4 linked regions of the Stegostoma tigrinum genome follow. The protein of the gene in region 2 purifies or fractionates together with the protein of the main gene of each other region. This does not show direct contact. Links are inferred from orthologs where the notes say so. Each region holds a gene or a part of one and is shown on either strand. Other genes may lie near its edges. The genes, in order: ddx5, SRSF protein kinase 1-like, putative RNA-binding protein Luc7-like 2 and rnps1.

Evidence for each region.
Region 1: the proteins of SRSF protein kinase 1-like (region 2) and ddx5 purify together in Homo sapiens (affinity purification with mass spectrometry; 3 studies listed by BioGRID and IntAct, with this or other methods). This does not show direct contact. The link is inferred for Stegostoma tigrinum from reciprocal best matches to the Homo sapiens genes SRPK1 and DDX5.
Region 3: the proteins of SRSF protein kinase 1-like (region 2) and putative RNA-binding protein Luc7-like 2 purify together in Homo sapiens (affinity purification with mass spectrometry; 3 studies listed by BioGRID and IntAct, counting the BioPlex papers as one, with this or other methods). This does not show direct contact. The link is inferred for Stegostoma tigrinum from reciprocal best matches to the Homo sapiens genes SRPK1 and LUC7L2.
Region 4: the proteins of SRSF protein kinase 1-like (region 2) and rnps1 purify together in Homo sapiens (co-immunoprecipitation; 5 studies listed by BioGRID and IntAct, counting the BioPlex papers as one, with this or other methods). This does not show direct contact. The link is inferred for Stegostoma tigrinum from reciprocal best matches to the Homo sapiens genes SRPK1 and RNPS1.

Annotation. Positions count from the first base shown.
Region 1 is NC_081375.1:10,865,624-10,872,739, forward strand, and holds the start of ddx5 (probable ATP-dependent RNA helicase DDX5), read left to right. Parts: upstream 1-4,100; 5' UTR 4,101-4,443; coding exon 4,444-4,487; intron 4,488-5,031; coding exon 5,032-5,203; intron 5,204-6,074; coding exon 6,075-6,171; intron 6,172-7,116. Other genes in the region: trichohyalin-like, read right to left, coding at 3,602-3,800. UniProt on the Homo sapiens protein: Involved in the alternative regulation of pre-mRNA splicing; its RNA helicase activity is necessary for increasing tau exon 10 inclusion and occurs in a RBM4-dependent manner. Binds to the tau pre-mRNA in the stem-loop region downstream of exon 10.
Region 2 is NC_081374.1:21,669,236-21,677,012, reverse strand, and holds the start of SRSF protein kinase 1-like, read left to right. Parts: upstream 1-4,768; 5' UTR 4,769-4,847; coding exon 4,848-4,863; intron 4,864-4,990; coding exon 4,991-5,051; intron 5,052-7,777. UniProt on the Homo sapiens protein: Serine/arginine-rich protein-specific kinase which specifically phosphorylates its substrates at serine residues located in regions rich in arginine/serine dipeptides, known as RS domains and is involved in the phosphorylation of SR splicing factors and the regulation of splicing.
Region 3 is NC_081391.1:3,031,274-3,038,553, forward strand, and holds the start of putative RNA-binding protein Luc7-like 2, read left to right. Parts: upstream 1-4,273; 5' UTR 4,274-4,522; coding exon 4,523-4,583; intron 4,584-6,137; exon of another isoform or gene 6,138-6,226; intron 6,227-7,280. UniProt on the Homo sapiens protein: May bind to RNA via its Arg/Ser-rich domain.
Region 4 is NC_081376.1:32,312,552-32,319,896, reverse strand, and holds the start of rnps1 (RNA-binding protein with serine-rich domain 1), read left to right. Parts: upstream 1-4,342; 5' UTR 4,343-4,475; coding exon 4,476-4,477; intron 4,478-7,345. UniProt on the Homo sapiens protein: Part of pre- and post-splicing multiprotein mRNP complexes. Auxiliary component of the splicing-dependent multiprotein exon junction complex (EJC) deposited at splice junction on mRNAs.

The sequences.
Region 1 (7,116 bases), on a different chromosome or scaffold from region 2:
CAAAAAATTCAAAGGCAATAAGTTGATAATTTAGTTAATAAAAAAATCACCATTAAAAATACAAAATGACAAAACTCATTAATAAAGCCAAATTTTGCCAAACAATAAGATGTAGAGGTCCGGAGAGGAGAGAACGAGAGAGAGAGAAAAAAATCAGCCCCAATTCTTGATCACTGGGGTGGTGGTGCTGGCTGGGACCAAGCACTGGGTGAGGCACACACTGAGCAGACCTAGGTAGAACTGACAAGAAAATGGAAGTTGAAAGGTGACTTTCAGCATTAGATTTGCTCTTCTCGTCCTGCTTTCCCTCCATCTTTTCCTTCTCCTGTACTCACCCCTTTTCCCCCTTTCTCTCATCCCTTCCCCATCCTCCATACATCCTCTCTTTGTCATTCGTTGCACACATTTACTTCAAAAAAAATCCATGGGAGTTTGTAATTCAAAAATTTCCGTAATCGTTATCCTATTAAACATTTTACACTGAAATAGAAAGTGTGCAATTTGTTTTTCATTCCTCTCCACTGCAACAGCCTCTCCCCCAGGATACTTTGATATAATCTGATAAAACAGATTTCTGAGTAAGGATTCCTATTCTTCTATCATGTGCGTACAAGCACAGGGTTCAAACTAATTAGAGCATCAATTGGAATCTCAGTATCTTGACCGAACAGGCGAAAAAAAAGGATGCAGTAATACAAATCAGGAGAGCAAAAAGCTAAATCAATGTGCAATATTTTTGGGAAAAGACAAATTAATAGGAATGACACAGCAACCTAACTATCAATCCTATTAAACCCTCCTGCCATCACAACCTGACATTGTTCCTCTACACAATCAAACTCCCACTGCCTTCTCCCTGTGTTGCGGCACATGCCCTTCAAGCCAAAATCTCCTTGAAAGCCTTATATTCCCCAACATGGCCTGTGAAACCACTAGCACAGCTTCCATGCCTGAGGCTGTTTGCAGCTGCCAGTAAAGCAAATGTCAGGCCACATGAAATGCTTTGGCAGGTTGTGCACAGCACGCAGTGCAAAGAAGTGTACCTCCAATTAGAAGACACCAAAGATATGGTAGTGTTTTGGTCCATGGATGCAGGTACTTTATAGAAATTCTAGTGACAAGGCATAAAACTGGGTAATAATGCTGGATTATACTTTGTAAGCTAGTGATATATTACTACGCCTCATGTCTCACGTATTGAAAAGTGTATGACTGCCATGAAACATTGGCTACATAAAAATAAATACATCAAAATGAAGACCTAACTAAATTATGCTGTAGGATGCCAGCTGTTTTTCAATTAACAAATAATTTTTCCACATGCAAGCATGCATTAAGCATTTATCCTGCCTAGCTGCTCAACACTGCAATTTCAAAAGAATCTATTTGTAAATCAAATTATTCTATCTCCTTGCACATCTAGATCTGACATAAAATTGAGCATCATCTACACTCTAGTACATAAATGGGTAAACATTAAAACTTAGTTAAAATCCCAGTGATCTTGGATTGCTAAATTTCCTCTAGTGCTTCAACTAGATTTGTGAGCACTGTTCCAAATGTAGATGCCCTTTGGTAGTCAGAAAGCAGCCTTTATTTGCAGTAACGATGAATTAATGAACTTTACTGTCTGCCTAAAATGGTTATGTAATTATACCTGCTTAAAGCTAAACAAAGCTTAAGAATCAAGTGACTTGTTTAATCTTTACATTTTGTAACATCCTGATGGGTATATTTAATACCAACTGGACACATCCACTTTAGAAGAGCTTATCAACTGGCTTCAAACGTATACACAATTTGACAACAGACTTGATGGTAAAAATCAGAGAGCATGTTTGCTGGTTAGTGTGACTTTTGCACTTATTCATGAGACGTGGGCATCACTTGTCAAGCCAGAATTAATGCCCATCCTTCGTTATCCTTTGAAGGTACTAGCCAGCTACCAAGCTGAACTGCTGCAATCTATTTGGTGTAGGTAGTCCTACAATGCTTTTCAGGAGCAAGTTTACACATTATTTTATTGGGGAAACCACATGCTCTGGCCTGACAACTGGTGTTTTCTTGTCCATCTGTTCTACATTAGAGTAATGGAAAAAAATTAGGGAGAATACACAGCCAACATGTTCCAATAATGACAAAAAGTGGGACCAACACATTCTATGAACCCTGGAGACCAAGGAATATATAGGATTGAATAAAAAAAAGCTTATGGTCTATCAGGAGGGCTCAAAATCCCACAAGAACAGTACAGAATGTGCAAGGGAAATTTTATCAGCCAGAGGGTGGTTAATGTGCAGAACTCATTGCTGCTGAAGACAGTGGAGGCCAAATCATTGAGTACATTTTAAGATCGAGGTAGATAGCCTCTTAATCAGTACAGTGAACAAGGATTACAGGGAGAAGGCAGGAGAATGGGGTTAAGAAACTTTTCAGCCATAATTGAATGGTGGAACAGACTCAATGGGCCAAGTGGTCGAATTTTTCTCCTATATCTTATAGAAGACATTACTAATGATTGGTCTTGAAGCAGATCCTAACCATCTACTCTACATTCATCCAACATTCCACTTAAAAATAATCATTGACTGTAGTGTTCTTGAATTTGCAATTACAAAAGCTAACACATATGAATTTACTGAGATAGCAAGAACTGCAGATGTTGGAGTCAAAGATAACAAAGTGTGGAGCTGGAACACAGCAGGCCAGGCTGCATCAGAGGAACAGGGCAGCTGACGTTTCGGGTAGAAATCTTCGCAAGGATGGAAGAGCAGTAATGGGAGCAATTGAAAGAACCCTGGGAAACAGAGCTTGGCTAGAATATGTTACGCCACAACCAAAACGGAAGGCGCAGTACCACACTCATCTGAGGCGAAGGCGAGAGGGAGTAAAACCAATCGATTCCTTTTAAAAGGCTACTACTAGCCTCAACTCCCTCTAAGTAAAAAGTTGTTTCGGACATTATACCAATTCGTCCAAGTGCATTAAATCTCGGGGGTTAGGGTGACTGGTTGGAAAGAGATATGAGGCGCTGCAAGAACTGGTATTAATAGGAAAGTATTGTATAAAGAATAACTGAACTGTAATTTAGTGTTGGACTGGCAATCGTATTAACAAATAGCATTAGGGTCACTGGACTCGAAATGTTAACTGGTTCCCTTTGCAGAGACGCTGCCAGACCGCTGTCTCTCCAGCATCTTTTGTTTTAATTAAAAACATGCTTGACGAGGACCTGCCCGATATTTACTTTAACCGATAACAGACGCCTCTAAACAAGCTTCTGGTTGCCTTGACACTGTTGGTTGGGTCAGGAAGCTCGAGTTCGATTTATAATGACCACCACACGCAAATATTTCATATTACAGTATATGAAACGAATGGTTTTCCTAGTGTAAAAGTAGACTATAACTAAATACATCGTTATATATGGGGAGGGGGAGCTAGAAATAAGATAATTTCTTGCTTGACATAACTCAAATCATTTCAGACAAAAAAAGTGACAGTTAAAAGACGTGGCAGTAGACTTGATTTTAAAAAAATCAAAACACTAAAACACTGGGAAAGTTTGTTGGGAAAGTTGTCAGCGCGGCTGCTGGCCTACAATTGAAGCCGATTCGACTGCGACCGACCTCTCTCGTCCTGCTCCTCCATCGCCAGCGGTACGGAATAGAAATTCTTTCTCCTTCGACTGGACGCACAACAAATATAAAGTAAGAAACACCAAATAGCTCAGTCGAGTCGGAGTTACAATTAATCAGTTTGTTGTCAGTCCACTGCCATAGCCCCGGACCCTTGTACATTTAAAACGTCTCCAGCCGCCCATTGGCTCTGGGCATGACGTCACCAACCGCCCACCCGCGGAAAATGTCATTACTCCAAGCGCCGCCCCTCGCCTTTTTATTATCACTTATAAAAAAACACAAATACACACTCCCCCCACCTGTCACCGGCAGCGTTCATGTGAATATTTTATTATTTAATCATCGTCCTTTTCGTTTGCTTCCTACCCTCAGTGTCGTTTCATTGACGTCACCCTGTCGCCATGGGGAAGAGAGAGCTCCCCTCCTCGCTCATTTGTAATCGTCAGCGAGGCAAAGTAGGCCCTGTCATTCGAAGATGGGCGATGAAGTTTCGTTTAAAGTCTTCCCTGCCGCCAGAAAGCTGGAACAGCTCGATTCTTGAACAGTGGGATAACGATATGAGGGTGTTGAAGTGACAAAGGGGTCCGGAAATATTTGGGTCAAGAAGTAGCTACGTAGATTTGAATTGCGGAGGGATATGCGGAATGAGTTCCGGGCTCCCCCTTGCCGGCTTTGACTAAAGGCGGACAAGGAACCGGCATTTTAGTTTCGGCTTTCAACCGGCTTCCTCCCTTTCCCACAGTCAGCTCCATATCGAGCGTCAAGTATCTCGTTTGCAGTCCTGTCCTCCACTTTTTCCGCGATGCCTGGTTACGATAGAGGTGATCGGAGTCGGGAGCGTGGCGGGTGAGTTTGTGATTTTTTTTTCCCCCTCTTTCGAAAAACGCACCTTCAGTTTTTTTTTAATCTTCAATTTTTTTTTGGAAAAGAAAAGCCGGTTCCGTTCTGGAGGATGAGAAGAAGCCACCGCCACGCGGTCCGCTTAGGCAAAATCCTGGCTGGTGTGCGGAGCGTGATTTGGCATTTTTTTTAAAAAAAAAGCAAATTCCTTAAGGAACTTCAATTTTTTGGGAGGGGGTTCTAACCAATTAAACATTCTTCCGCTTTGCCATTTTTATTTTGGTCTTGCCGTAGTCTGTTTTTGTTTATTTGTATATTTCGATGCTCTGTTTGACCTCGTGTTACAGGTTTCTTCCTTGTATTGTAGCTAAAATGGCCGGGAGATGCTGTTTTTCGGGGGTGGGTAAAGCTGATCGTGGATGTTGGAGCTACCTTACGGTCTTGCGTCGATAGCCTGTTTTTTTTTCAGATACACGTCTGCTATCGTCTGTCTTTCTCTCTTTTGTTTGAAAAGCGTAATTTTTTTTCCTGTAAAAATATTACATTCCAGGTTCGGTTCGGGTGGACCTCGCTTCGGTGGTAGCAGGAACGCGCCTCCGCCCGGCAGGAAATTCGGGCAGCCGGGGGAGAAGCTGAGGAAAAGAAAATGGGACCTGGACGAGCTGCCCAAATTCGAGAAGAACTTCTACGTCGAGCACGTAGATGTGATGAACCGACCTGTGGTAGGACTGGCTGGCTTTTTTTTTCCTCCCCTCTACCCCTAAACCTTTATTATAATTCCATGTAGTCGTGAGATATACTCGTAAAACTAAATACTGTTAGTGCCGGACAAAATGGTAATCCTTTCATTTAAGGGAGACTCTAAAGGGAAACAATGTGCTTTGACTTGGCAAAGGTGGTGGAGGATGTTGGGCTGACGTTTGTAGCTGATGGGGTTATTCTTGAGTGAGCCGGTGATTCATTCCTATTAGTCACTAAAGGGCGATCTCTGCCCGCCCACTGAAATATACATAACTGCTGAACAGATAACAGTAAATTTTTAGTGTATTTTCAGCTAATGTTTGGTATCCCCCTGGTGGACATCTTCTAACAGACAAGGGAAAATTACAGACGTATACCTTTTTTAGCCTTTTCAATGAGGAAGTATTAATCAGTGGTTCTTGTACTTGTTTCAATCAGTTGAACTTGGGCTGATTAGTACATCTGAGCTTTTGTGTCTATGGAGGTTTTTAAAGCTTTCAGTTTTCCTATTTTTGGATACATATTCACCAGTTATGTATCTTAAACTGTAAATTGATTACTGTGGGATCTCTACTGTGAAGGATGACACTGGAAACAAAAGCAGAAATTACCTGAAATTCTGTAGGTCTGGCAACACCAATGGAGAGAAATAAGAGGTGATGTATTGGGTCTGGTGACCCTCCTTCAGACTGAAGGAAGCTTTTTCTGCAATCTCTGCTTTTGTTTCTGACTTTTTTAGGTTTTATTTTATGGTTGGAACACTCCCTAATTGACTAGGGTTGGGGCTAGATTTATGGATTGCACTTTTTTACACAAATGTTAAATTGGATTTGATGCTGTTGTTGATTGCAGCAAGAAATTGAACAATATAGAAGAAGCAAAGAAATCACAGTAAAAGGACTTGCATGCCCTAAACCAGTTTTCAACTTTGTCGAAGCAAGTTTTCCAAGTAAGTATGGAATACAAGTGCATTAGAACATCTTCTGTGACTATACAGTTTAAATTAGAGGCAAAGCTGTGCTTCTATTATAAGTCAGTTGTACAGCAGGGAAATGGACTATTTAGTCCACACTGACCGTGCTACCAAACTGAACTAGTCCACCTGCCTGATCTTTCCTAAACATGAACTCAGGAAGGATAGTTTTCTAACTTTTATGAACTCTTGCTCTCTAGTTTAATAATTATCCTTGCTTTGGCATGATGGTCAGAACTGTATACAGTACTCCAAAAGAGGCCTCAACATCCTGCACAATCTAAACATGATAGCCAACTCCTTTACTCGGAAGCCTGAGCAATGAAGGCAAACGTGCTAACTGACTTAACCAACCTGTCTACATCTAACAAAAACAGAACCTGCTGTAAAAGCTCAGCAGGTCTGGCAGCATCTGTGTAGTAAATATCAGTTAACATTTTGGGTCCAATGATCCTTCCTCAGAATGTGTGAACAATGTCTACATGTGATGTGAATTTCAAAGAATTAGGTACCTGAACCCCTACATCTGTTCTACAACACTACCCAGGGCCCTACTGTTAATTCTATATGTCCTGTCCTTGTATAAATGCAAAACCCCACATTTATCCAAATTAAACTGTTTGCCACTCATCAGCCCATTGATTCATTTGGTCAAGATCTTTGAAATCTTAGATAACTTTCTTTTCATTGGCTATTCTGCTACCAATTTTAGTGTCATTTACAACTTACTAGCCACGTTTGTGATACACTATTTTCTCTATGTAAAACCATCCCTAATCAATTCTGTGTCTCCAAATGCATGAAAATCCGACCTTTCAGAATCACCTCAACATACTTACCGCTGATGTTAGACTTGCAAGTCTATAGTTTCCTGCCATCTCCTTACAGCCTTTATTAAACAATGACACAACATTAGCCACC
Region 2 (7,777 bases):
GTTTGGGGATAGATTTTCAGCAAGTAAAGGTTATACAGCAAGGAAAGGGCAAAATGACGGCCAATCCTAAATGTAAAGATCATAATCTTAAATTTGAGGCATGGGTGGAATCAGTCAGCAAGATAGGCTGGGGATTAAGTAGTTTCACCTTAGGATGCAGGCAGCATAGCTCCGAATAAACTTGACTTTATGGAGTTTGAAGGACACATAGTTATCCAGAAGAGTTGTGTGCAGAAGTGACAAAAATAATATAAGCGAATGTGCCAAATAGGTCAGAGGTAATCAGAAGGAGACTGACAGTGCTTTTTGTGAAGGATAGGATATATAATTGGAAACTCTGAAGGGACTGAACAGGTTGCCAAGGTCTTGAACAGTTTGTTTCAACTTAAACCAACAGCCAGGGAGGAGAATGAAGTCGGTGTCATGGATATGGAGTTTGTGACAGGGCCAAATTTGATAACTTGATAGCTGGAAGAGATAATTGCTCATCCAAGACTGGAGGTCAGACAAGGAATATGTTAACACAGAAAATGAAGAAGGGACAGAGGTAGATGAGGGCAAAAGAAATGATGAAGTGATAGCCAAAGTTGATGGCCATGAGATAATTCCACTGTGATGTTGCAAGAATGGCAAGAGACTTTATTGCTCAAGTTAAGGGGGTCATAGCTTCTCCCTTTCTTGGCCTCCTTTCAGTCAATCACAACAAATATACAAGTACACAAGAAATATATTTTTGTTTTGCTTCTCTTTTAGCATCTAGCCATGACACTTCAATCAACTTAGTTAACCCAGATTTAAAATGGAGAGCCAATTCTAGTGGTTTCTTGAGTGAAGGACAGTAGTGTTTTAGTACATCAAAGAAATAACGAAAAGTGACAAACACACGGACAAAAACACTGCTGTGAACTTACAGAGAAGGTTAGAGGTGAATCTGTATTTAATATAGGTTGGGAAATAAAGGCGAATGTTAAGTTATAGTTTTCCAGCGTCTTCGAGTTGTATGAAGGCAGTACGACTGAGATGTCATTGGAAGAGGTTCAGGGATTCCCCCATGTCATATGTTGCAGATGTCAGGAGAGTAAACAGATTGTGGTACATGTATGGATTAATTAATGAATTTATGCCAGTGGGATAGATTCATTCCTGCCATAGGGATAGAAATCAGTACACAGACTGATCTTAAGGGACTTGATAGGACAGGCTGTTTCTCCTTGTGCAAGAGTCTAGGACCAAAATGCATATTCTCATAAGGGGTCACATGTTTAAAACAGAGATGACAAGGAATTTCTTCTCTCTGAGGCTTGCAAATCTGTGTAATTATTTATTGCGGAGGGCTGTTGAGGCTGGGTTGTTAGGTATAGTCAAGAGGAAGATAGATTTTTAATCAGGAAGGAAATCAAGAGTTAAGGAAAAGGACAGTGGAATTGAGGATTATCAGATCAGTTTTGATCTCAATGAATGGTGGAGCAGGCTTGATGTGTTAACTGGGCTACTTCTGCTCCATATCTTATAGCCTGTAACTTGTACAGTGCAAATATTACTTGCCACTTGTCAGCCTAAGCCTGAATGTTGTCCACATCTTGCTGCATCTGGACATGGACTGTTTCACTATCTGAGGAGTCACAAATGATACAGAACATTGTGCAATGAGCAGCAGTCATCCTCATTTCTGATATTACGATGAAGGGAAGGCCAAGAGGATGGTGGTGTCTTTTCCCAGCTCTGGTGCAAAACCATTTATCTGAAACATTAACTGTTTTTATTTCCACAGTATTACAGAGTTGTTACTGAGTAGAACGAAGCCATTCATTCCTGCACTGGGTCTCTAAGAGAGCATTTGATTTAGAGTCATTTCTCTGCATTCTCACCAAAATCCTACACATTGTTCCTTTTCATTGTTCTGTCTAATTTGCTTTTAAACATCTAAATTGAACCTGTCTCCATCACTCTCCAGACAGTGCATTCTGGATCTTAACTACTCATTGCTTGACTTATATCACTTTTACTTCTTTTACTAATTAGTTTAATTACGTGCCTTCTTGTTCTCCAATCTTTCATGAGTGGAAACATTTTCTACTAATTTACTTTGTCCAGTGCTGTCATCATCTTAAGTACTTCATTCAGATCTCCTCTCAGTCTTCTCCTCTCCAAGGAAAGCAGTCCCAATGTCTCCCATCTATCTTCATAACTGGAATTCCTCATTCCTGGAATAACTCCCATAAACATAATCTATAGTTCCGCGAATGCCTTCATTGTGAATGCCTATTTTGTGAGTTATGTGCCCAAAACAGACATGGTACTTAAGCTGAGACTGAATGTAAGTTTAGCATATCCTACCTGTCTTTACTCTATTTCCCCGATTAAAATAAAAGGTGTGTTTTAATAGCTGGTCACCCTTTGTGACTAAAAACATACACAACCAAGTTCCTCTGCTTCTGCACTCATTTTAAGACCATAAGAGCATAAGACATAGGAGTGGAAGTAAGGCCAGTTGGCCCATCGAATCCACTCCACCATTTAATCATGACTGATGGGCATTTCAGCTCCACCTATTCATACTCTAACCGTAACTCTTAATTCCTTGCGAGATCAAGAACTTATCAATCTCTGCCTTGAAGACACGTAACATCCCAGCCTCCACTGCGCTCCGTGGCAATGAATTCCACAGGCCCACCAATCTCTGGCTGAAGAAATGTCTCATTTCCATTCTAAATTGACCCCCTCTAATTCTAAGCCTGTGCCCACGGCTCCTAGTCTCCCCGCGTAACAGAAACAACTTCCCAGCGTCCACCCTTTCTAAGCCATGCATTATCTTGTAAGTTTCTATTAGATTTCTCCTCAACCTTCTAAACTCTAATGGATACAATCCCAGGATCCTCAGCCGTTCATTGTATGTTAGGCCTACCATACTAGGGATCATCCGTGTGAATCTCTCCTGGACACTCTCCAGTGTGGCCCAAAATTAGACACAGTATTCTAAATGGGGCCTAATTAGAGCTTTATAAGGTCTCAGAAGCACATCGTCGCTTTTATATTCCAAACCGCTTGAGATAAACGACAACATTACATTCACTTTCTTAATCATCAACCTGCAAGTTAACCTTTAGAAAATCCTGGACCAGCATTCCCAGATTCCTTTGTACTTCAGCTTTATGAATTTTCTCAACGTTTAGAAAATTGTCCATGCCTGTATTCATTTTTCCAAAGTGCAAGACCTCGCATTTGCTCACATTGAATTTCATCAGCCATTTCCTGGACCACTCTCCTAAACTGTCTTAACTCTTTCTGCAGCCTCCCCACCTCCTCAGTACTACCTGCTTGTCCACCTAACTTCGTATCATCGGCAAACTTTGCCAGAATGCCCCCAGTCCCTTCATCCAGATCATTAATAAATAAAGTGAACAGCTGCGGCCCCAACACTGAACCCTGCGGGACACCACTTGTCATTGGTTGCCATTCCGAAAAAGAGCCTTTTATCCCTAATCTCTGCCTTCTGTCAGACAGCCAATCCTCAATCCATGCCATCAGCTCACCTCGAACACCATGAGCCCTCACCTTGCTCAGCAGCCTCCTGTGAGGCACCTTGTCATAGGTCTTTTGGAAGTCTAGATAGATAACATCCACTGGGTTTCCCTGGTCTAACCTACTTGTTACCTCTTCAAAGAATTCTAACAGGTTTGTCAGACACGACCTCCCCTTACTAAATCCATGCTGACTTGTTCTAATCCGGCCCTGCACTTTCAAGAATGTAGAAATCTCATCCTTAATGATGGATTCTTGAATTTTACCAACAATCGAGGTTAGGCTAATCGGCCTATGATTTTCCATCTTTTGTCTTGATCCTTTCTAAAACAAGGGGGTTACAACAGAAACTTTCCAATCATCTGGGACGATCCATGACTCCAGTGACTTTTGAAAGATCACAACCAATGCCTCCACTATTTCCTCAGCCACCTCCCTCAGAACTCTAGGATGTAGCCCATCGGGGCCAGGAGATTTATCAATTTTTAGACCTTCTAGCTTTTCTAGCACTTTCTCTTTTGTAATGCCTACCATACTCAATGCTACCCCTGACTCTCCTTAATTGTCCGGATATTACTCATGTCTTCCACTGTTTTAGAGTTGCACCCTTTACTTCAAGTTGTCTCTCCAGATCTTCCTTCAAAAATGCATTGCTTACACCTGTATTTTGAATTTGCCACCTACCTGCCCATTCAACATATCCCTGTCTATATCCCTCTCGAAAGTGCTACACTACTCTCCCTAGTTTACAATGCTTCCAAGTTTTGTATGATTTGCAAATATTGAAATCATACCCTTCACAGCATAGTCTATGTCATTAACGTACATCACAAAAAGGAAAGGGCCCAACACTGATTCCATCCCAAGCCTTTGCCTGATGGGGAGAAAATCCATTAAGCATTACTCTCCCCCCCGCGTCATTCAACCAATTTTGGAACTATATTATTACTGCACCTATCATTCCACAAAGTCCAATACCGCCTGAACTACTGAATATTTCCAGAAATTACTCTAATGATAAGAGAATTTGCAGATTTAAGTAAGGACACTCCAAAAACTTGGACACGAAGAACCAAAAATATCAAGCGCCTCAACTAACGTCGACTGACGGCAGTGCTAACAGGAGGTTTGCCCACCACCTCGCGGTCGGAGGTCGGAACAGCAGCCGGGGAACGGGCCCCCACCCCACCTGGCGGTCAGAGGTCGGAACAGTAGTTGGTGGGTGGTTCCGGGTGGGGAGGAGGGGCGGGATAAGAGAACGATAGTTAGAAAAAGCAGTGGGTTTGCGCTTGCGCGCTGGTGATTGTGTGGGGACCGGTTCCAACATGAGCTCCCGAAAAGGTGAGGGAGCCTTTCAGCCGGCTTGGCCTTACCGGTGGGGTGGTGTAGTCACAAACATCCGTTTTGTATACCCTCAATTACCGCTCTAACCTTCTTCCTTCTCTTTCGGATTTTTCCCCCCCCCCAGTTCTGGCTCTGCAAGCGCGCAAGAAGCGAAGCCGAATCAAAAAGGAGAAGATTCTGAAGAAGTGAGTGGGGATGGTTTCGGAGCCGGGGCTGCTCGCACTCTGTCGCCCGCCTGCTGGCAGCGCCAGGCCGAGGCTTACGCTGCGGCCCGGGCCTTGTGGGCTGATTCTAGACCCTCACCTATTTCTCCTGCCCCCCCCCCCCCCCCCCCCCATCCGCCACACACCTTTCCCCATTGCGACCATCTGGTCGGTTCTTGATTTTGTTGCTGTTGCAGCGTCTGGTTTGGGATCTACTGTGTGGATGGATGGATGGTAGTTGGCTGGATGGGGGTTGGTGGCTTGGGGTACAGGGTTGGAGAGTGTTTTTTTTAAAGCCGTGTGCAGCCCACAAAGAGCCTTTCATCCACGCAAGGCGATTGACTTTTTTTTTACTTTGAAAGTTTTATTACGTTCCATTGACAAAAAAGTGATACATAAACGTGGATTGAGTTGTTGCAATCTGCACAAACTTTGCGATTAATTCTCGTTCTTTTTCCTGTAGTTGAGTTGTTCAATATTTTAATTTTTGCTGAAGCCACAGAGAGGACATGAGTTTTTTGAGAAGTGAGGTGGTTGAGGCTGTGATTTAAATAAACCTCTTCTGTTTCGTTCTACTTTCTACAGTCAAGTCTCTGGTTTCTGTTGTTTGAAGACGTGTTTGCCACTGCGCCGTCAAAGTTGTTGAGGGTGTTTTGAAGCTTCCAGAGGGTATATTTGAAATGGCCTCATATTGACTGGAGTCATGAGGTTGAGGTTGAGATATCTAGGAAAACCAATTAACAGGTTGAGTAGAATTGTAAAGTGGCAATGATGTCTTCAAGTATGATGAGGTGATCTTATAGAAAGATGGTTGACCATTGGTTAGGTGGTCTTGAGCAGGCTTTTTACAGTAAGGGATTTTGGTGAAGGATGCTATTCCTGATGTTGACCAAGAGAACATCGAAAAAGTTAAGTCTGCAGATGATTCAGATCTAGACCAAACTTTCTACAGCTAATAAGGTAGGCCAGAGATTGTTAATGGTATAGAATTCAAAATTATTGGTGCATTAGGATTTAGCACGCTGTGTTTGGTCATATAGTGTTAGCTGAAGCAAATCTGTTTTTGACAGGCTAGCTCTATAGGTTATGATTGTCCAGTCAGTTAGGTAACTGCACTCTGATCTTTCAGGGTATTGCTTTTGAAATCTGTTCACGATCATTTTGCAGCTTGGTAACCATGAAAACAATTTGCTTCTGTGATGTGGGATCATAATGTGAGTTACATCACAAAGCAGCTTTAACGGATCCATTTTCTTAAAGGGCTTTTGAAACTGGATGTAAAAAAGGCTTGTTATTAATTGGAATACTGATAGAATGTCTTGATAGATATGTCTTGATGTATTGTTGAAAGATAACTTACTGTTCCTTGTCAGTTCATAACCTCAGTTACTTCGATTCAATGTGGTTATGATGAGCACTTAGCAGCTGTGGAACTTAAGCCCTTTCCACTTCTGTGAAGTGCAGCAGGAAACTTTTTGCATGCAGAAACAGGCTTTCTGCCCTACTTCCAGCAAAATAAATCCCATTGGATTTTGACTTTTAATTCCACCTTGTTTAGTTCCTCAAGCTGTATCTGGCCTCCTGGATTGGTAATGTTGAACTGCTGTAATGGTGGGTATGTGCAATATAAAGGGCTATGTAAAGGTTTTTCCCCCTTGTTTGGCTGTTTATAAAAAAGATCAAATACCAGAAAAAATTCAGAATGAATACTCCTGTGTTACCATTTTTGCTTCAGTGTATTTGTGTGGTGATCTGAAGGCAATATCACTTCATATTTTGGGCAGCAGTAGAATACAGAACAAATACTACTTTAAGTACAAAGAAATACAGGAATAAATCTAATGAAAACATTCCAATATACTGAGAAACAAAAACATTCTCTTTGAGGTGGAAATCTTCATAGCGAGGTTATCAGTTAAAATACCCTAAGAAAATGGGTTATCAGTGTAAAATCCTTTGTCGTGAATAGTTGAATAATTTGCCTCTTCAAGGAAAATTGGATAAACTGTTGAAATGAAGATTTCTCTTCAATTAGTCTGACAGAGCTAGTACAGTTGCAGGAGATTAAACTCTTCTAAGCATGGTTCTAAATATTTTATACTTGTGATTGCAACAGTTTTCTAGTGTTTCTCCAGAATGAGCAGAATACATCAAATCTGTCAACCTCTAGGCAGAATCCATATTGACTTATGGATCTTAGCAATTTTTGGGTTGTTTAGGTTGGGCATGTAGACTGACAATATCTTTTTTATAATAAAGAATACAAGGGGCAGTTTTATAAGAAGTAGAAATGTTGCAAAATAACCCAGGAAATTCTTCCGAGATGCTCCAAATCCATTGGCATAACTTTACTGGAAGTGGAGCAGAATGTCAGCTTGTGCATGTAAGTAAAGGTCCTGTTGCACTTTATTGAAGTGGAAATGGCTCCAAGGACTTTTCCAACCAAATATGTCAGTGAGCAGACCAAGTTGGGTGATAGTTTTAAAAAAAAATCCAGTTTTCAGCTTGAGCTGATACACTGTCCTTAGAGTAAATTCAAAGGAATTACTCATGGAAATGAAAGTGTCTTGCTACTTCAGTGATTTCGCAAAATGCATTGAAGTGTTTTCACTTATAACTGAAGATTTAATTGGCACCAATAACTGCTGTATTTTAATCTGTCATTTTAAATCTGTTGCTTTATGACTATTATAGACAGTGGATTTCAG
Region 3 (7,280 bases), on a different chromosome or scaffold from region 2:
TCTAGATGGTGTGGATGAGTTAGACCTAAGGGTCTCCATGCTGCACATCTCTGTGATTCAAAATTATTTTTTTTTAAAATGAGGCCGAGCAAACAAAACAAAAGTGAGCTCTCTGCCTTCTATTATAAAGGGTTTTCCTGTTTTATCTTACAGTGTCATAGAGTTAAACAGCATGGACACAGACCCTTCTGCTCAACTCATTCATGTCAGCCAGATATCCCAAACTGATCTCATTCCATTTGCCAGCATTTGAACCATATCTATAAACCCTTCCTATTCATGTACCCATCCAGGTGCTTTTTAAATGTTGTAATTGTACCCGCCCCCACCACTTCCTCTGGCAGCTCATTCCATACACGCACCGCCCTCAGTTTTAAATCTTTCCCCTCTCACCTTAAACCTATGCCCTCTCGTTTTGGATCCCCCCCACCCTGGCAAAGGTTCTTGGTTATTTACCCTATTCATGCCCCTCATGCTTCTGTAAACCTCTGGAAGGCCACCCCTCAGCATGGTCTCAAGGTTAAAGAGCTCACAACACTAGTTTCCCATATCATCGCAGAATAATCCCTTCCCTAATCTGGGTATGCAGTTTGAGATTATTGGGTAGTTACTATAGTTCTGATCCTGCCTTTATTATACCTTCAGATGACGACATATGTAGCAGTCAATATCTTTTTTCTGTAAATTATAGTAATGCTGCACCAAAATGTAATCCTGTGAAATTTCCTTTCTAACTAAAATGGTGCTGCAGTACTCAGCCATTGAATGTAACAATAAGGCAGCATCTACGTCAATTTTCATTTCCTTGTCATTCAAATCAGTCAGTGATGCACTCACTCCAGCAAACGCTGGATTAACGTAACATGAAAGTAAAAAAATGCTGGAAGTTCACACCAGGTTAAAGATTCAGGTCTGTGACCTGATACAGGAAAGTTACAGAACTAAAACTGGGTTGACCTGATAAATGTTTACAGCAAGTTCTATTTTTGTTACAGATTTCCAGCATCTGTAGTGTTTTGTAATAAAATGTTGAAACAGATTGCATCTCAATAAACTAAGGTTAAATAGCAAATAACCTTCAATTATCATTGGTTCCTGGCTCCCTATAGCCAAATGACCAATGAAACCAAGTGCCAAACAGCAAAGACATAGACAGAGAGATGGAATTGTAGGATCTGACACTCTAGTTTAGTTTATAAACATTTCCCAGGCTCTGGAAATTGGCTTGTTCCAGAAAAAATGTAATAAGAACTGTGGAAATAAATTGGGAAAATTCCTGTCAATACAGGATCTACAAATATCACTCAACATGATTGACATGCCATCCTATTTATTTATCGTGTCACCTCACTCCCAACTTTTATTCCTTCCCTCTCCCATCACTCTGTATCTCCTTTCCCCCATCCTCCTTCCCTCTGTTACACCTTTAAATCCTGTTGACAGCCTTTCTCCCTTCTGCTCATCTCACTGTTTCTTTCTCCTCTAACCCTCACACTTCCTGTTCTCACTCTGCCACCCCATTCTCTTCAATCCACAGTCAGCCTCTCCCAGCTCCTGCCCATCTATCATCTTCCCACTCATACAGTTACAGAAATGTACAGCATAGAAAGAAACCATTCAGTCCAACTCATCCATGCCAACCACTCATGCTGTTGCACACATTTGCTGTCTTTTCTTACTCCACGCTTGCATTCTCCCCTTGCTACACCATTCATCTTTTGCATCTGTGGTTCCACCTCCTCATCTTGTCTTTCACTTGCTATTCTCTCATACACGGTATCTCAGTGGTTAGCACCGCTGCCTCACAGTCCTGGGACCCAGGTTCGTATTCCATCCTCGGGTGACTGTCTGTGTAGAGTTTGCACATTCTTCCCATGTCTGTGGGTTTCCTCCCACAGTCCAAACATATGTGCAGGTTAAGTGGATTGGCCATGCTAAATTTCCCATAGAGTTTAGGGATGTGTAGATTGGGGGGATGGGTCTGGGTGGGATGCTCCAAGGGTCAGTGTAGACTTGTTGGGCCAAAAGGCCTGTTTCCACACTGCAGGGATTCTACGAATTCTGTGGACTCGCTTCATCCTTCTGCTCCCTCTCTTTTCACTTTTACACTTTCCCTTCATTTCTGTCCTACACGCACTCTGTGGACGTCATCTTTTACCTTTCTCCTCATCTCGATCCCAATGACCTGAGTCCTAGAAGGAAAATGACATATACTAACCTGACATCTCATATATTCCAAAATGGAGTTGCAGCGAGACCAGAGTATTTATTTTGAAGCATTACTGATTTTTGTCTGCTTTCTTTCCCGCTTGGCCGCCTTCATCATTATTCCCTTAGGCAATTTAGAAGTTCTTCATACTAGTGGTTAGTGCTGAGGCAGCAATCTATAAAATTTCACTAACTGTGCCATTAAAAAACATGGCCGTTAGATCTCATTTCATTCATGGGACATGGACATTGTTGGATGCCCTGGATTTATTGCTTGTCCCTAGTTGCCCTCAAGAAAGTGGTGGTGAACTGCTTTCTTCAATTATTGTAGTCCATGTGCTTAGGTAGACCCACAATGCCCTTAGAGAGGGAATGCCAGGATTTTGACCCAGCAACATTAAAGGTATGGCAATATATTTCCAAGTCAGGATGATGAGTGGCTTGGAGAGGAACTTGTAGGTGATGGAGTGGTGTTCCCTATATCTGCTGTCCTTGTCCTTCTACATGGAAGTGGTTGTGGGTTTGCAAGGTGCTGCCTACAGATTTTTGGTGGATTTCTGCATTGCATCTTGCAGATAGAACACGTTGCTGCTACTAGGTATCAGTGGTGAGCAGAATGGATGATTGTGAACGTGGTGCCAATCAAGCAAGGCTGCTTTGTCCTGGCTGGTATCAGGCATCTTGAATGTTATTGCAGCTGCACTCATCCAGCTGGTGGGAGTATTCCATCACACTCCTGACTTGTGCCTTGTAGATGGTGGACAGGCTTTGGGGAGTCAGGAGGTGAGTTACTTGCCACAACATTCCTATACTCCGACCAGCTCTTATCGTCGCTGAGTTTATTATCAATGGCAACCCCTAGCAGGATGAGTGTGGCGGATTCAGTGCTGCTAATGCTATTTATTGACAGAGGGGCAGTTGCTACATCATCTCTTATTGGAGATGGGCAGTACCTGGCATTTGTGGCATGATGATTACTTGCCCCTTGACAACCGAAATTGGATATTGTTGCATTCAAACATATAATGGGGACAAATGTACAGCAAAGATTTAATCACATCACCATGTAGCATCTGTGGGGAATGTACAATAAAGAAAATCCATTATGGTCACTTGTACTACAATACAGAGGTATAGGAGCACAGTGGAAACTTTTTCCAATGACTGCCTTTTAACGGCGTCATCTTCCATACAAGTACCTGGGTACAAATCTTACAGAGTTGAAAAAAAGTGTTCTTATCCAAACAGCATTAAAGGAAAGTATAAGCATTACTTGCAGATGTAGCTAACACAAAGTGATAAGGTTTTAAATTACAGTCCAATAACAGAAGCTCAGCACATGCCGCCAGGCCCAAATCCAGCAATTGTCCTGCATCACTCCAGCCTCCAGTCCACTCCTCACCGGCACTCAGCAGCAACAAGGTGAGTCATGCTGTACCTCAGCCCTTGTGTTGCTCTCAGGCTGCCATCTCCCGCATGTACCACTGGCCCCTGCGACTCACTGCCTGTGCCATGCTCCAGGGCTACTTCCCTATATGCTGCTGTGGGGCTCTTCCCCGCGCTGCTCTGGAGCTCGCAGCCCGTGCACGGCTACAGGACTTGCAGCTCTGGACTTGCTGCCAGCTCCGATGCCGAGAGGAGAGAAGATAACAAAGGGGAAAGAAAAGGAAAAAGAACAAGCAGAGCAGAGAAGCTCTGACAAGGAAGCTGGTGGATCATGGTAAACTCATTGCCAACCATTTCCAACATAAGGTTTCCTGCCAGTTGGGTTAGCTGTTACCAGAAATGATGGGGTAGGAAGATTTTGGAATTTATTTTGTTCACCAATCATTAATTCCAATGAGCTTGCCCCTTTAACTGGTCTCTCGCTCTCGCCCCCTCCCCCGTCCCAAAGAGGAGGAAGATGCCACTTGCAAGAATTTTGGGTCGTTACAGAGTAAAATACACAAAGTCCAAAAGGAGAAGTGTCTAGGAACCAGCAGTTGCAACAGTCGGACTGTTCCATTATTTGCCTGGTCCCCTCCCCTCCCCATGCAATTTTTGAACTTGGTGGCGTCCCCGTCACGAGCCGGGGCCGTTGGCCGTGACGTCAGTTCCGGCCGAGCGGCTCGAGACGAGGGCGCAGAGCTGGAGCCAAAACAAGAGGCGGAAAAATAAAATAAACCTCGATGCAAACCAGTAGCTTTGGACGTTTTAAAAGGAAACAAAAAAATCTGCAGCAAATCGGACCACTTTAGTAGCTAGCGGTATCTGTTTTTTTCCCGGCTTTAAAAAAAATTGTGCGGCGGATCCTGTAAAAGCCAGAGGAAAAAAAATGTCGGCACAGGCCCAAATGCGAGCTATGCTCGACCAGCTCATGGGGACGTCCAGGGACGGTAAGCGCGTTAATGGCAAACATTTATCCTTACTACTGTTGAAAACCGAATGTTTCCTTGTTGAATCGCAGTAAACATGTCCGCTGTGAAGAATCCGGCCAATATGGTGGAAAGCAGCCGAGAGTCCCCCTGGCTCCGCCCTGGTGCCCCGCCCCACGTGCATGACGGGCGCGACTCGGCCAATGGGTGGCGGCGTCTTGCCGGAGTGACTGTGGACTTGTCCAATGGGTGGCGGCCTTTACCTGCAGTGCCGGCAGTCTACGCCAATGGGGACGTGCGCGCTGGTAAACGGCCAATGCATGGAGGAAGGAGGGGCCTGGCGGGGGGCACGATTCGGCGCCTAAATGGTCATTGATGGGGCAGGGGTCAGCCAATTGGTGTCTGAGGCTATGGTGTTGGGTGGGTCATGGAGACTTGGGGATGCCTCAGGTGATGGTTCCTGAGGTGGGTGAGTCAGGTCTTTAAAATGAAATAAAGAACTGCCGTTGACATAAATTTGAAACAAAGACACAAAATTGCTGGCAACACTCAGCAGGTTTGACAGCATCTGTAGGAGGAAAGCAGATGAAAAGTTTCCGGGCATGAAGCATTAACTGTTTTCCTCCCACCAATGCAGTCACGCAGCCTGAGTTTTGCAAGTAATTTCTGTTTTTGAGTCAGTTCTTTGCCTTTCTCTCTGTCGGGAATTATACCTTCACAAGGGGCAGCTTCCATTGATCTGGTTCATCACTCCTCCTTGATCACGTAGTCATGTAGGGCATGCATTTACAAATTCAAGATCAAGGGAGATTATGAAAGAAGTTTGGGAAGACAAAATCTGGAATTATTTCTGGAGTTGTGTGGTAGAGTAATTTTCTTTTGATTTACAAGTTAATATCTCTCTTTTGCAATTCCCATTTTAGTTCATGTTTCCAAGTGGTTTCATCTATAATAAAGCTTCCACTTTTTTTTTGCATCTCGCAAATAAACTTTATCATACACCTGTGACACATGATATGCTGGCTGTAAGTTGCTGCTACTCTGTTCCTAGTTTTTTGGGTCATTACAGAGTAAAAAACACAATGTGCAAATGTGTTAATGTTCAAAGGAGAAGTCTCTAGGGACCAGCAGTTGGACTGTTCCATTCTTTGCTTGGTCTCCTCCCCTCAAGAGTCATTAAACACATGCATTGTGTCCAAAGTACCTTTATGTAGTTTCATGGTTGTTATCAATGACAAGATTCATACAGTACTTACAGCCTTCTTGTTTAACTGGTACAGTCATCACCATTGTCTTTGAAATCATTCTTAGGTGATCAATATGACTTCAAATCCCATGCACTGATGAAATATCTGACTTGGGCGAAGGTTTTTTTAATTTCTGATCTTGATCTGTATCTTTCTGCAACGCTATGGATCATACTCCGTGTATGAACAATCATAAAGTCTCTATTGCATCATTAGGGCCAAAAAAAATTTAGAAAGCAACCAGTTAGCAAGGATTAGGTCCAGCATTTGATAACCCTTTGATTTTTTTCTATATTTCTTTTGTCTTTCTAAATCTTTGTTTAAACAGTGAGTGCTGAAGACATCGGGGGTAAATGGCTTGGAGAGGAGTTACCAACGGTATGAGGGAACTAAATTAACACACATACAACTGAAGTGGTGAGAGTCCCTCTTTTAAAGTCACCATAACTCCATTTGTCTGTCACTAGTGAAGACAATCTGATAATTCCCAAGTAACATTACTTGAGAATGTAATGAGAAGTAAATTGTATTCTAGAACTATACTAATTTCTGATTAGGGATAACTGCTGTTTTGATTAATCATTTTACCTAATTCACAGAGGGAATATGGAGATGTCCTAAAAATACATTTGTTTGTCAAAAGTGCACTAAAATGAGAAAAACAAGTAAGTTTTCTTTGAAAACTTCGTTTGAAATTCGTTGCATCACAAGATGCAGGTTTTGGGATCTTTAGGTTTGTTTGCTGGTAAGCGATGGAAATTTTCGTATTCATTTTTTAATAGGGATTTCCACTCACAAGATGAGTCTGATCCTGAAAAGTACATCTAACTCTTGTAATCCAAATTAGCCCAAACAATAAAGCCTAAGCAAGTCCTGTTCAAAGGCAAGATACTCCGGATGCTGGAAATCTAAAATAAAAGCAAGTAGTGCTGGGCATACTGAGGTCAGTTGCAGCTGTGGAGAGAGAAACAGTTCACGTTTCAGGTTGAACTGACTTTTCATCAGAAGTTTCATCTAGACGTGAAACAATAACTTTCTTTTTACCGATGCTGTAACACCTGTTGAGTCTTTATAGCACGTTTTCTTGGTATGCAATTCCTGCCATGTTGTACAGCTCAGCTAATTGACTGAAGTCAATAATGCTGTAAGTTTATTTTGTTGAAGTTTATTATTAAAGCAAGGTATGGTAGAATTTAATGGTTGGATCCACAATCTTTTTTCTCTGTATTTAGAAATTTTTCATGTGGAATAAGAATTCTTTAAGCCAATTGCTCTGTTAAAAAATGTTTGACAAATGCACTTAATGATTGGCACGCTCAGGTGTATGTCATGCCAGGCTAACCTTTCAAGGTAAATGTAACTTGGCCAATATTCTACTGGTCCTGCGAGTTAAAACCACCCAAAGGCTAGTTAATTTGTCATGGCTTAATAAATAATTGCATGTAGCTATCTTGGTATTGCCTCGTGCATA
Region 4 (7,345 bases), on a different chromosome or scaffold from region 2:
AGCATTTCCAGATTTTTTTTTCTGTCAAAGAATCTACCACACATCCTATGGACAATCTTTTTTAACCACCACCAAGTCATCCATGTTACAAATTAAAAGAACAATTTAACAAGTACTACACCAGGAGCAGTGCAACAATAATAAATGGGAGGGGGGGAGAAACTAAACTAAAATGGAGTTGAAGGGGGAAATAATGCACTCTAACTCCTGTGCTGCTCACCTCACTTTCAGCTACTTAACAATTCTAATCGTGTAGAATCCAATAAGTCTCTCTTTCTATGATCAATATAGATTATAAATAGTTGAAACCCTTATCTGTTCCTTGTGCCATTCCTGTGGTTACAGCTGTTTATTTCTATATTTGTTTTCTGTCTATTAGCAAATTTTCTATTCATGGTAATGTATTCATGCCAACTCCATTAATCCTTAGCATTTAAATGATCATTTGTGATGCACCTTATTGAATACAGTTTGGGGAATCAAAGTATATCAAAGTGCATTGTTAAGATGTCCTCAACAATAAATTCTACCATATTCATGACAATTTATGTTGGGCTTGTAATTCTTATTTTCTCTTCCCTCCTTTCTTGAATAGCAGTGTTACATTTACTAATCTGTTAACTCAAACCACTGAGACCTTGTGGAATCTACAGGACTTTAAAATCAAAACTAGGGCATCTGCTATCTCTGCAGCCACCCTAGCTCCCCACAAATGTAAGCCATCAGGTTCTGGAGATTTGTCAAGTTTTAATTCCTCAAATTTCTTTAATAATTTCTGCTGCAAACATGAATTATTCAAAATGTCTGATTCTTATTAGCTCCTTGGTTAATCTCTAGCTTTGAGGTATAATTTGAGTGTTCTGAAGGTAAGTTAGACAAAATATTTATTCAATCCGTCATTCCTCTTGAGAATGAATTTGCTTCCTTGAGACTTTTACAAGCCAAATATTTTCTCATTGCGTTTTGATCGTCATTTGATGGTTTCCAAAAATCCCCCAATTCAAAGGCTTGCTTGTATTTTTCACAACAAATATGCCATTTCTGTAATACCATAAGTGTTCAAGCCCAATGTCTCGGGCACATAATTTGGATTGACACTCTGTGCAGTCCTGAAGGTGGTGCTATACTGTTGGAAGTGATATTTTCAGGGGAAACTTTAAATTGATACCCAAAAACAAAAACAGAAATTGCTGGAAAAGCTCTGGAGGTCTGGCAGCACCTGTGGAGAGAAATCACAGTTAATGTTTTGGGTCAAGTGACCCTTCCTAAGAACTCCGATTTCTGTTCAACAGCTGCTGCCAGACCTGCTGAGCTTTTCCAGCAATTTTTGTTTTTGAGGTTGGTGACTTGCTTGCGGAGCTGGTTGGCTATGATACAGACATTTCGTGACCATGCTAGGTAACATCAACAATGTGGCCTGCGATGAAGCGATGTTGTTCTACCCTGCTGGGTATTTATATAATTTGGTCTGTTGAGGTGGGTTGTGTCATTTCCGGTTTTGTTCTGCATGGACTTGTATATGGGGTCTAATTCCATAAGTTTGTTAATTGCATTACGGGTTGAAAAACAGGCCTCTAGGAATTCCTGTGCATGCCTGTGGTTGGCTTGAGCTAGGATGGCCATGTTGTCCCAGTTAAATTGATCACAAGAAATCACAGTTAATGTTTTGGGTCAAGTGATTGCTACCGTGATTCCTAGTGGTCATAGGAGTCTCAGCAGTTCTTACATCTTCTTGATATAGAGTAGTGTGGCCAGTGTATTGGGGTGTATTGTGTCCTCTTGGCACTGCCAATCTAGTGGGCACCTGTGGGTGAAGTTGTTGGAATATCTGTTGTTAGCAAAAGACCTTGTATAGGCGCTGTTCCTACTTCCTGCGTAGTTCTGGCATGTTGCATTGGTTCGTGGCCCATTTGAATAGTGTCCTAGATTTGTTTGGGGTGATTGCTGTGGAAATTGAGGATTTGGTCAGTGTGGGCTGCCTTCCTGTATACTGTGGTTTGGAACTCCCCATTGGTCACTTGTTCTACCCTCATGTCGAGAAATGGAAATTGATTGTTGTCTTCCTCTTCTCCTGTAAATTTGATCCCAGTGAAAATGTTGTTAATGAGATCGTGTGTCGCTTCTAACTTGGTGCGTTTAATGATGACAAACGTGTCGTCCATGTATCTGGTCCACAGTTTTGACTGTCAGGCGGCAGGAGTGGGGGTTAGTGTGTTCCAGACCTTGTATTGACTGCCCCTGCAATAAGTCCTGAGATGGGCGACCCCACAGGTTTACAATTGATTTGTTTGTATATTTGGCCATTAAAGATCAAGTGTGTGGTGACGCATAGGTCCAGCGGTCTGAGTATGTTGTCCTTGCTGAAGGAGCTGTTTGAAGTTCAGTGTTCCTGCTGTATCCAGTAATGTGGTACGTCAATGGACATGAATAGTGCTGTGACATCAAAGGATACCATAATCCCGTCATCATTGATTTTAATGTTCTTGAGGTAAAGGGTTGAGTGGATGGAGTGAGGTGACCATCCTGGTTCAAGCCAACCGCAGACATGCACGGGAATTCCGAGGGACCAAGTATTTTACCCTTAAAGCAATTAACAAACATGTGGAATTAGACCCCATATACAAACCCACGCAGAACAGAGCCAGAAATAACACAACCCAACTTAATAGACTGGATGGTACAGTGGCTCAGTGGTTAGCACTGCTGCCTCTGAACACCAGGGACCTGGGTTTGATTCCAGCCTTGGGTGACTGAGTTTGTGGAGTTTGTACATTCTCCCTGTGTCTGTGTGGGTTTCCTCCAGGTGCTCCGGTTTCCTCCCACTGTCCAAAGATGTGCAGGGGAGGTGTATTGGCCATGTTACATTCCTTATCATGCCCTGGCATGTTTAGGTTACGTGGGTTAGATATGAAAAATGCAGGGATCGGGGAATGGGTCTGGGTGGGAATGCTCTTTGGAGGGGTGGTATGGATTTGTTGGGCTGAATGGCCAGCTTCCACACTGTAGGGATTCAATGATGATCTTGTGTGAGATACCAAATGGAGTAGAACAACACCGCTTGATTGAAGGAACTGATATGTTACCTAGCACGGTGACAAAACGTGTACATACACTGGGCAAGCTCCCAGCCCGAGCTACAAATCTTTGCAAGTTTCTGATTTACACCAACTGCAGGTCTTCCGTTTTCTTTAAAAAAAGATTAAATTGAGACCCTCGTTTGCCCTCTGGGATGGATTTCACAACATTTTTGGAAGACAATCAGGAGCGTGCCCTCCTACATTTTTCCATCCCCACCCCTGTCTGCTTTCCGGAGAGACCACTCTCTCCGTGACTCCCTTGTTCGCTCCACCCTGACCTCCAACCCCACCACACCCGGCACCTTCCCCTGCAACCGCAGGAAATGCTACACTTGCCCCCACACCTCCTCCCTCATCCCTATCCCAGGCCCCAAGATGACATTCCACATTAAGCAGAGGTTCACCTGCACATCTGCCAATGTGGTATACTGCATCCACTGTACCCGGTGTGGCTTCCTCTACATTGGGGAAACCAAGCGGAGGCTTGGAGACCGCTTTGCAGAACACCTCCGCTCAGTTCGCAACAAACAACTGCACCTCCCAGTCGCAAACCATTTCCACTCCCCCTCCCATTCTCTTGATGACATGTCCATCATGGGCCTCCTGCACTGCCACAATGATGCCACCCGAAAGTTGCAGGAACAGCAACTCATATTCCGCCTGGGAACCCTGCAGCCCAATGGTATCAATGTGGACTTCACCTGCTTCAAAATCTCCCCTTCCCCCACCGCATCCCTAAACCAGCCCAGTTCGTCCCCTCCCCCCACTGCACCACACAACCAGCCCAGCTCTTCCCCTCCACCCACTGCATCCCAAAACCAGTCCAACCTGTCTCTGCCTCCCTAACCTGTTCTTCCTCTCACCCATCCCTTCCTCCCACCCCAAGCTGCACCCCCATCTTCTACCTACTAACCTCATCCCACCTCCTTGACCTGTCCGTCTTCCCTGGACTGACCTATCCCCTCCCTACCTCCCCACCTATACTCTCCTCTCCACCTATCTTCTTTTCTCTCCATCTTGGGTCCGCCTCCCCCTCTCTCCCTATTTATTGCAGAACCCTCACCCCATCCCCCTCTCTGATGAAGGGTCTAGGCCCGAAACGTCAGCTTTTGTGCTCCTGAGATGCTGCTTGGCCTGCTGTGTTCATCCAGCCTCACATTTTATTGTCTTGGATTCTCCAGCATCTGCAGTTTCCATTATCTCTGAGTGCCCTCCTACGCCGGGTTCAGCGCATATCCCGACCCAACGACAGTGCAGCGTGCTCTCTCACTCCCCCCGGTGGTGCTCACCAGTATCGCAAATGTTTGTGTCATGACGCAGCGTGCGACGGGTGACGCGGGTTGAGCGGGACGGTTTTGCGGCCCAGGCAGCGGCGAGCGAGAGCGGATCGAGAGCGGAATGTGAGTGGACGGGAATCCATGTCCATCGGGGCCAGGGGCCGCCTGACTGCAGCGACAGTTGGCTTCTCGCGTTCGGGGTGGACTGTGTTCACTGCACTGTGACGGCTTTATAAGGATGAATAGCCCTTTGTACAGTTGGAATCTCGGTGTAGAACGGAGCCCGAGGCCTAGTGGAGCGAATCTTATTGATTAGTGGGGAGGGGGTTGACCGGGAAATTCTGCTATATCCCTGGGCCTGTTGTTGACACCTGACCCCGGGGTTGTCCCGCTAACAAGCCTACCTGCCATACTCAAGCTGTTTCCTGTCTTTCCCCTCTTACTGAGGTGGTTACTGGGACACCTTCCACACACCCATGAATACTCCCAATACCTCACCTTGAACAAGTTGGGTCCTGTCAGTAGGAGATTATTTAAGGAATTAGTGAATGTAACATTGTAAATATTAGATTAACGATGGAAAAGGACAAAGAACAAACCAAAATAAAAAAAACTTAATGAGGTGGGCCAGTTCTGGATAAATTAGAATCATATACTGTGATTAAACTCTGGGCAGCTGTTGAAGATAATGTACTTGAGGTACAGTTGTTGGAAGTAGATTCCTCTGATGGAATAATAGGATAAACAAAATACTGTCTAATCAAATAGAGAAAAGATTGATGTCTACTTGGTGTAGTATCTTTACCATAATGAGGTCTGAAAGTGCCTCATAGGAGTATTCTAAAACTAAATATGACCATAGAGTTATGTAAGGAAATATTAAGTAAAATGATCAAAATCTTGGTCAAAGAGATTACAAAGGTGGAAGGGCTAATGACTTGGAAGGATTTGAAAATGAGGGTTTTTAAAATTCATCACAGGATGAGTGTGTTGCTGGCTAGGCCAGCATTTACTGCCCATCCCTAATTGCCCAGAGGGCAGTGAAGTCAACCACATCTGCCTGACAAGATAAGGATGTCAGTTTCCTTCCCTCAAGGACATTAGTGAACCAGATGGGTTTGTCTGACAACTGATGATGGATCATGATCATCACTAGACACTTTCCCAAAATGTTTAAAAGTTAAAATTAAGATGTTGCTTGACTGGGAGCAACTGAATTTCAATGAACACAGGAGTGACTTGCTGCCAGTTAAGAAATGAGCAGCATAGTTTTGGATGATAAAAAGTTTGTGAAGGATAAATTGGGAGACCAGCCAACAAGCTTGTTGGCATATTAAAGCCTGACAATGATGAAGGCAGGAATATAAAACAGTAGAAGAGATGTGTGACAAATGTCATGTTGATAATACAAGTGAGAATCAGCTGCTTTGGAAAGGTCAGAGGGGAAATGAAAAAGGAAACAGAAGGAATGGGAAGAGACTGGCAGCTATCGTTAAAGACCACCCAAAACTATTTAAATAGTGAAAGGATGATAAAACAAGACTATTCCCATTTTGAGACCAAAAGAGAGATTTATGTATCGACATGAGGTGCTATGTAAGTACTTTGCACTGGTCGTTACTGAAGAAAATTCTGTGAAAGTCATCAGCCATCTTGTCATAACGAATGGCAAAGCAGGCTCAAAGGGCTGAATGGCCTATCTTTGCTCCTATTTTTGTGTATTTTTATATTTCTAAATGGAGGTGGGTGAGATGATGAATGGGCCAAAAATTGACAAAACCTGGCGGTCTTTAAAGTTGCTAAGTCACCAAGACTGGAGGAGATGTATCCAAGTATACTGGGGGAAGTCAGGCCAAAATTTGTGGAAGTGCAGGTCATAATCTTCTAAACTGCTTTCAGAGGTGATGGCATGGCACTGGAGAAATGCCAGTGTTTGACTCTTGTAGAAAAATCTTGTAAGCATGAACTCAGCAATTGCAGGCCAGTCATTTTAACCTCAGTGTTGGGGAAGCTTTTTAAAAATAATAATCTTTGAAAAACTGAGTAACTTGAAAAAGTTAATTAATTAAAATCAACAGAGATATGTTAAAGGCATATCATGTTTAAATTATTTTGATGAGGTGATGGATAGTTAGAGAATATTGCATTTGCTATGGCATGCATTGACTTTAATATGTTTGGTAAAGTGTTACAAAATAGGCATGTCAGCAGAGTTGAAGGCCATGGAGTATAGTTAACAGCAGCAGCTTGGGTGCAAAGTTGGCTTAGTGAGATGATCGTGGAATTGGAGCTTACACAGTGGGTTCTCTAGGAGAGTCATTGTTAGGACCATTGCTTTTCTTGACTGTATTAATAACTAGAATAGTTGGGGGCACAGAGCATAATTTCAAAATTTATAGATATCACAAAATTGGACATTGGAGTGAACAGACATGTGGAATATGAAATTTATTGCAGGCAAGTGGAAAGTATCTTAGTAAGAAGAATGAGGAGAGGCCACAGAAAATAAAGGGTATAATGTAAGGGGGAGCAGAAACAGAACTGCGTATATATCTATAAGTCATTGAGGGTGGCAGGGCAGGTTGAAAAAGTAATTTGAAAAGGTATACAGGATCTTGGACTGTATAGAGTACATAGGGAAGTTTTGATGAACTGTCATAAAACTCTGATTTGCCCTCAATTTGAATATTGTGTATTCTGGGCAATACATTTTAGGAACCATTTGATGGCAATAGAGAGAGTTTTGAAAGGTCCATAAACATAGTTCCAGGAATGAGGACCTTCAGTTACATGGAGAAGTTACATTGGAGAAGATAGATTGGGGCTATTTTCATGAGAGAAAATTGAGAAGACATTCAGTAGCAATGCTCAAAATCAGGAAGGGAAAGAGTAGACACAGGACAGAGCATTTAGAAACTTACCTGTTAATAGTGTATGTGCGAATTAGAAGCGAATGATTTAAGATAATGAACAAATTCATAAAAAGCAAGG